2 linked regions of the Alligator mississippiensis genome follow. The protein of the gene in region 1 interacts with the protein of each later gene in a pairwise test. Links are inferred from orthologs where the notes say so. Each region holds a gene or a part of one and is shown on either strand. Other genes may lie near its edges. The genes, in order: RXRA and NR0B2.

Region 1 (3,908 bases):
CCCGCTAACTTCAAAGCCCTGCAAAATGGGTCTGGCTCCGCCAGCCTATAGTCACTTCTGAATTTCAGGCCTCTGATTTGCCAGCTGCAAAAGTGGGACAACAGCAGTGGGACGCACCGAGGAGAGAGAGAACAAGCGTCAGGACCCCTTAATTGTCACCACCCCGGCACAGCTCTGAATGGGGGCAGGCGAAGCCCTCCCCTGCAGCCTGGAGCCCCCAAAGTCTTGCCATTCCTCTTGGCAGCCTTTGCAAAGGCCCATTATAGAAGCCTGCTTCCCCGGTGCTTTGGGTTGTTTTTCAGGCAGCGTGACAGGATGAGGAGGAAATGTGCCAGGAATGACTCCGAGTCTCCTCTCTAGAGAGAGCTGGAGTCTATTTTTAAACTCCTGCTCCCCCCCGACCCTGGGCCTGCAAAGGAGTTAGGGGGGCAGGCGGGAGGTTCGCAGCCTGGCGGTCGCCGCTTGCAAAAAAACACCTCCGCAAAAGCAAATTCCAGTTCGGAGGCCTGAAGCCGCGTGAAGCAAGGCAGAGGGAGCGGGGCATCCTTCTGTCCCCGGAGCCAGTGTGGACACACAGCTGCCTCCTCACAAACCCACACACGTGTACCCTTCGCCATGAACACACACACACACACACACACACAGTTCCCCACTTGCAAAAAATAATGCACGCAACTTGGGAAACACTCACAACCCCCCGTCTTCCTCCCCCTGCTTTCCCTTTGCAAATATACACTGCAGGCACATGCATCCCAGGCAGACACATGGACACAAACCACAAGCTGGGATGCTCTTTCCCGATTGCAAACACCTCACCTCCCCCTCAAAGACACTCAAATGCTTCCCTCTGCAAGCGTAAAACACACAACGCACGTTCTCCCTTTGCGGGGGTGCAGAAATGCACCCTGCCACTCTCAAGCACGCATGTGAACGTGCCCACACAGTCTGCAACCCACGTGGACTATACTCAGACCCCCACACAGAGATCCAGAAGCACATCCTAGGTTCAAGATCCCGTATCAAGTCCTGATTATTTTCCGTCTTAGGAAGGTGGCATCTAGAGGCCTCAGACGTGGAGCAGACTTGTGCTAGGGGCTGTACACACATGAACAAGGAGATGGGTGTGATAACTGTGCCATATGCAGCTCTCCCAGTTGCCCAGCCGTTGTCAGAGGCTTTTAAGAGTTGATGCCATATCAAGCTGGGGTGGAAGGTGCCTGATGTAGGGGCTGCACTGACTTTTGCACTGGAGAAGGTGCTGAGAGAGGAAGCTGGGGGTGGCTGAGTGTGGGGAGTGGAGTGGGGATGGGGGCTGGCACCTTAGTGCCATCGTTGGACCATCGTGGAGGGGGTTTTAACCCTGGCGTTTGCTTTGTGTCTTGCAGATTTCTCCAACCAAGTCAATTCCACCTCCCTGAACTCCCCGACCAGCCGGGGGCCCATGGCTGCACCTTCCCTCCATCCATCCATCGGACCGGGGATCGGCTCCCCGCTGGGCTCAGCGGGCCAGCTCCACTCCCCCATTAGCACCCTCAGCTCCCCCATCAATGGCATGGGCCCTCCTTTCTCCGTCATCAGCTCCCCCATGGGACCTCACTCTATGTCAGTCCCCTCCACCCCCAACCTGGGGTTTGGAACCGGCAGCCCACAGGTAAGCCGGCAAAGGGAAGGCAGGGGAGACAAGATTTATGTATAAGCAAGAGGGGGAAAAAACCCAGGAATGGTCAGCAGGTTTCTTTCAGGGAAAGGAGCAGCGATCTTACCTCCACCCGCAAAACTGGAGGGGTGGCGAGACCCGATACCATGCCAGTGGTATCCCTTTCTCAGGTCCTTGCAAGCATTAGTAAAAGCTCCTTGGGGTTGCATCTACACGGGACGCTGACTGCGCAGGAGCTTGTTACTGCTGTGCAGTAGCATCACGTGGCACAAAGAGAGACACTTATTGTGCAGTAGTAACGAGCTCATGTGCAGTCAGCATCACCGAAAAGCTGTTTGGGGACGCCACCGTGCAGTAGGCCAGTTCCTGTGCAGTCAGTTAGTACTTGTGAGTGCGAGTTGCACAGTAACAAGTGTGCAGTCAGCTGTGTCACACCCCAGCTCCACGCCCGAATTTTGGGAGGACTCTAATGAACCAAGGCGGCAACAGGAGACTGAATTAAAAACCAGGCGGCCTGGCTTTCCTCTGCGTTCTGCTTGCTGGAAGGCCCAGGACTTCAGTGGAGTTACTCCCTGTTTAAACGAGAGGAGGATCAGACCCCGTCTATAATGGTGGGCTTCACTTCAAAGGGTCACGGACACAGGCTGCTTTGCTGGGCTTCCTGTCTTTGGGCAGCAAAGAAGCAGGGGAGAGGAGAAAAGATGACTCTGTATTCTGGGATAAGCTGAGGGTCTTCTCTGTCCTGGTACAAACCGGAGCAGCCCCCAGGCTGCTCTAAACTGCGCCTTTGCTGCAGTAAGCCCTATGGCCCAGGTAAAATATGGGTTGCATGTAGTACAGTACTCCCTGTGCTGCATTGTAAGCTCCTTTCCGATGGTGGTAAGATGGCCAGGGGACCTTTCTTTAGGCCAGGGGTCTTCTCCAGGACTTTGTTCTGCCCTGCTCATGGCCGTTTTACGCTGCTTCCCCCTTTGCTCCCCGGCTGCACTTGCTTCCCTTTTCTCCGCAGGAGAGAGCGATGTGGAGGAGGGGCTGGGCTCTGCCGATTGAAGATTATGTAAAAACCTCCAGCTATAAAGAGATAAGCCTGTTTTAAAAATAGCAGGCGCTGGGAGGGCTGGCGGGGCCCTGCCACCTGTTGCTGGCTGGCTACGGGGTACATGTTTAGCGAAAGGGCAGATTAAGGAATTGGCTCCCACCTGCCGCTCGCTGCTGGTTTATTTATTTCAGAGCTTCTCTGGGAGTCAAACACCTGCCGGCGCCTTTATTTTTGTATTAGCCTGATTTATTTCTAGGGCTAACACACTAGGGGACATTTTGTGCGTGCCTGGGAGGGCGGATAATGTGGGGCAATAGGAGTGGGCAAGGGGTCCCTCGGCAGAGCCCATCCTAAATCAATCTGAGTTGTTTCTACTGGGTCATTGCAATGGCACGGGACCAGGTTGAGCAGTACCAGGGTGCTGGAGGAAAACCAGTTGCCTCTATTCAGGGACCATGGCTGGGCCCGATGGGGCATAGTGAGGCTGTGAAATCACCAGGGTGCTTGCCATGCTCCCTTTCTCCTGCATCCTTGCATCTCCCCATCTCCCCCCCTGCCTATTCCAGAGTTCAAGTCCAATGCCATGTGAACCCAGACATATTCCTGCCCCCAGCATGGAGTTAACCCTGGGCTCAGCGGGGCAGACAGGCTGCTACGCTCCTGGAAACCAGGAGGAATAGAGGCAAATATTGCTTTGGAGCCAGCCACCGCCCAGATAGTGCCATGAGAGCAAAGCCAAGGCTGGGGGAAGATGTGAAGCTGCGGGAATGCACGAGCAGCGAGCGGGCCGACGCGGGCAGGGTTTCAGTGCAAAGCCGTGGCTATTTTGGGAAGCCGAGACACACGGCCAGGGGAACCGAAATAAACAGGCACCAGAAGGAAAAGAGGAATCGAGCCTAATGGAGACTGAGTGCCACGGCATCGCTGGGCCCCGACGGTCCCTGTCATTTGCTCATGCTCGATCTTAAGTGGTTTTCCTGGAGGAGACATTTAGGACATTTTCAGTCTACTGGGTTTTTCCATCTGTCCCCTGTCTGCAAGCATTAGGCCCCTATCCTGGCAGTGGCGGGAAGGATCTACCTGAGCCAGCTTGAGAGGGAGGGAGTTCCCAGTCCCGCGTGCATAGGAGGATGGAGGGAGGCATCCTCTCGGGGAGGAGGACAGCAAAAGCAGGAGTACAGGAGTGTGCCCCCCTGCCCATCATGGTACCAG
Region 2 (3,908 bases), on another chromosome or scaffold:
CATTTCACAGACGGGAACGTTTGGGCACCCTTCTTATGTACTTCAGGGGCTTTACTCCAGGGCATCCCAACTTTTTTAGGCTGCGGACCGGCAAGCCACGGACCGGAAGTGACCGGTGTACTGGGGAGCGACAGCCGACCCTTTTTTAGGCTCAATCTAAAAAGAGGATTGGCTGCCGCTCCACGGTACGCCGGTCGCTTCCGGACCTCCAGCGCGGCAGCCGACCCGCCGCGACCTAGCGGTCGGGAGCCTCTGCTTTACTCGCTCCGCCGGAGTCGGTGCTTCGTGCTTCTGAGAGCCCGTGAAAACGACGTGTTTGGCGGCGGCGGCGGGGCTGAGACTGCGTCACTCGACGCCTGTAGAAGCAGCTGGCAAAACCAGCAAGTCCCCTCGAGACACGCCGGCGCTCGTCCCACGACGGGCGCGAAGCCGGACTGTCCGCACACGCGCAAGGAGCGGGGGGCTCCCGCTGCAGCAAGGGGAGTCGAGGTTAAGTACGGGCGGAAAGGGGCATCAGGCGCCGAGGCGAGGGGCACGGCCTAGAGGCTGCAGGAGGAAGAGGAAGACCCCCGCCCCCCGGCCGCCCGGCGCTACCTCCCGCACGCCGCCCGGGTGCTGCTGCGCCATGGCCAGGAGCATGCCATCGAAGCGGTCCTCCTGCTCCGCTACCTCCTCCGCGCTCAGCCCCATGGCGACCCGCAACCGCTGCCCGCGACCCCTCGCCCGGAAGCGGAAACGGGCTCCCCCACCAATCAACGCGCCGCATTCCTCCCGCGACCCCTCGTTGATTGGCCGCCGCCGCGCCCAATCCGCAGACGGGGGGGGGAGGAGGGCGGGCGCTTAGCGCGGCACAGGCGCGCGGCGCTGGTTGCTATAGAGACCGGCGCCGTCTCGCGCCTTCCAGAAGGCTCCGCGTGGCCCGTTGGGCGTCGGAGGGCAGGGGTCGCGGCTGGGTTAGGCCTTTAAAGGGATGGTTGAAAGGATTCGTGGGGGAAGGGGGTGACACGAGTGATGGGGTCACAGCCTTGCCTGGAGGTCAGGGGTCACAGAGGGAGAGGTCACCCCTAGCAGCGCAGGGTTGTGGGGAGGGGAAGGACCCCCCCCACCTTCTCCCACACAATTCCTCCCTTGCTCTCCCGCCTGGGCGGCTCCGCAGCGCAAGAAGACGGCGCGGGATAGATCCGGCGGGGTGCGGCGCATTGCGACGCGAACGCCACGGCCCAGAGCAGCTGAAAGCAGTGGGCCGGCAGAAGAGAAGGCTGAAGCGGGATTCGATGGCGGCTTCAACTACCTGAAAGGCGACGCACGGAGAGGATGGAGACGGGCTGCAGGCAGCGGGGCTGGGAGCCACGGACTCAGTCCCGTGTCCCCCCCGTGTTCCATAGATTCATAGATTGCAGAGTCGGAAGGGACCACAGTGGATCATCACGTCCGACCCCTGCCCCTGGCAGGAAAGAGGGCCGAGGGCAGACGACCCTAGCCAGGTGACTATATCCTCCTCGTGAAGATCTCCAAGCTAGGTGATAGCACCACCTCTCTTGGGATCCCGTTCCAGATCCTGGCCACCCTGACTGTGAAAAATGTCTTCCTAATATCTAACCTAAATCCACTCTCAACTAGTTTACACCCCTTATTCCTAGTCACTCCCTGGGGCGCCCTAGTAAACAGCGCTTCCCCTATCCCCTGTTGACCTCTCCTAATAAATTTATAGGCGGCCACAAGGTCTCCCCTCAGCTGTCCCTTGTGAAGGCTGAAGAGATTCAGCTCTCTCGACCTCCCCCGTAGGGTCTTTCCCGAAGGCCACGAATCATGCGAGTGGCCTCCTCTCGATCTCTCCAGATTCCCCGCGTCCCTCCTGAAGTGCGGCGCCCAAAACTGGACACAGCACTGCAACTGCTGCCTGACCAGTGCCACGTAGAGGGGGAGCGTCACCTCCTTTGATCTGTCAGTCATGCACCTGCTAATGCACGACAAGGTGCGACTGGCCTTGTGGATGGCCTCGTTACACTGCCGGCTCACGTTCATCTTGGAGTCGATTACGACTCCAAGATCCCTCTCTGCCTCCGAGCTGCTGAGAAGGACACTCCCCAACCTACAGGTGTGCTGGGGGTTCCTCCTTCCCAGGTGGAGCACCTTACATTTATTTTTATTAAATTGCATCCTATTTCTCTCTGCCCATTGCTCCAACCTGTCCAGGTCAGCCTGAATCTGCTCCCTCCCCTCCGGTGTACTAACTTTGCCCCATAACTTGGTATCATCAGCAAACTTGGAGAGGGTGCTCTCCACGCCCTCATCCAAATCGCTGATGAAGATATTAAATAATACCGGTCTGAGGACCGAACCCTGCGGGACCCCACTGCCCACCTCCCTCCAGGCCGAGAAGGAACCATCCACCACCAAGAGAAGGGAAGGGAGAGGCTCTCTCGAGATGTTGGTTTAATGAAATCTGATTCTCAAACCCCCCCGTGTTTTTCTGACACCAGGTACCCCAGGTCCCAGCCTTGATCCGAGAACCAGATGCCCTCAGTCCGTTGGGTTTCTTTTCGTTATCTGTAACGACAGCAGCCTGCTGTCAACAAGGTTAGACAAACAACCTGCTGATAACATGACTTCCAGGTTGCTCTTTCCAAGGCCAGAGCCTACAGGTTGTTTGCCACCGGGCTCCTGCTCCAGACAAGTGCTGTGTGTGCATGTGCGCGCTCCTTGGCAATGACACCTGTCATACAGTACTGCCTGATTACGCATCGGGGCCTTGGTACCATGGTACAGGCTGGGTTATCGACATTGTTTATCCTGTTTGGACAACCGAGATAAGCCAGCTGCCCAGCCTGCCATTCTGTCCCGTCCTCCTGGCCCTGGCTGGCACTTTCATTGAGAAAACACTTCTTGACGCCACATGAAGAACTCGCTTCCCCAGCCAATCAGGCGAGAGTCAACTTGTTTTTTAATGAATGCTGCTTTGTCAAAGAGAGGTCAAGGGTGGAAGGGGGTGTTCCACTCACCGCCAGCGCCTTATAAATACCACTGAGCGTAGCAGCCAGAGGGTTGAGGCAGCTGAGCTCAGTGGAAGAGGCTGCAGTCGGAGAGCTTTGACGGGCACAGGAGTTCGCGGTTGTGCTCACAGACTCAGCCTGTCAAGTGCACCCAGATCACCTCCTCCTTCAGAGTCAGTGGGATCTGCTTGGTGGGCAGAGCTCTGAGTGCAGGCAGCATGGACGTGGACTATGAGAGATGCCAGTGCCACAGCGAAGAGAACCGGAACGCCATCCTCTATACCCTCCTGAGCCAAAACCTGAACCACAATCATAGCCCATCCCAGCAGCGCTGCCGGTGCCAGAAGCGTCGCACCGTCTGCCTCCAGACACCCCAGGTCACCTGCCAGGCGGCCTCTGATGTCCTGGTGAAAACAGTCAGCTTCATGAAGAACCTGCCCTCCTTCCAGCTGCTGCCCCGGGAGGACCAGCTCCTCCTGCTGGACAGTTGCTGGGCTCCTCTCTTCATTCTGGGGTTGGTTCAAGAGATGGTGACATTCGACGTGATGGAGACCCCGGCCCCCAGCATGCTCAAGAACATTCTCCTCAATGGCCAGAGCAAGAGGCAGGAGCTTGAGAGGACACAACCCACCCTAGCCGGGGTGCAGCGGCTGCAGTGCTGCCTGAACACGTTCTGGAGCCTGGACCTGAGCCCTAAGGAGTATGCCTACCTGAAAGGAGCCATTCTTTTCAACCCTGGTGAGTGCTCTCAGCAGGGCAGAGGGTACTACACAGAGAATCTGGTCTGGGCTGCTTGAAAGCACGCGTGTACGTGTGTGTGTGTGTGTGCGCGCACGCACGCACATACACACGTGAGCAATGGGGAGGATTATCTTAATGTCATTAATCCATAATGTTAACATTTCACACTTTTCA

What was found.
Region 2: the proteins of RXRA (region 1) and NR0B2 interact in a two-hybrid assay, tested with the Homo sapiens proteins (2 studies listed by BioGRID and IntAct). The link is inferred for Alligator mississippiensis from reciprocal best matches to the Homo sapiens genes RXRA and NR0B2.

Annotation. Positions count from the first base shown.
Region 1 is NC_081835.1:61,932,807-61,936,714, forward strand, and holds the start of RXRA (retinoic acid receptor RXR-alpha), read left to right. Parts: upstream 1-1,441; coding exon 1,442-1,651; intron 1,652-3,908. UniProt on the Homo sapiens protein: Receptor for retinoic acid that acts as a transcription factor.
Region 2 is NC_081829.1:2,777,129-2,781,036, forward strand, and holds the start of NR0B2 (nuclear receptor subfamily 0 group B member 2), read left to right. Parts: upstream 1-1,396; 5' UTR 1,397-1,484; intron 1,485-1,490; exon of another isoform or gene 1,491-2,483; 5' UTR 2,484-3,211; coding exon 3,212-3,731; intron 3,732-3,908. Other genes in the region: nuclear migration protein nudC, read right to left, coding at 595-690. UniProt on the Homo sapiens protein: Transcriptional regulator that acts as a negative regulator of receptor-dependent signaling pathways. Specifically inhibits transactivation of the nuclear receptor with which it interacts.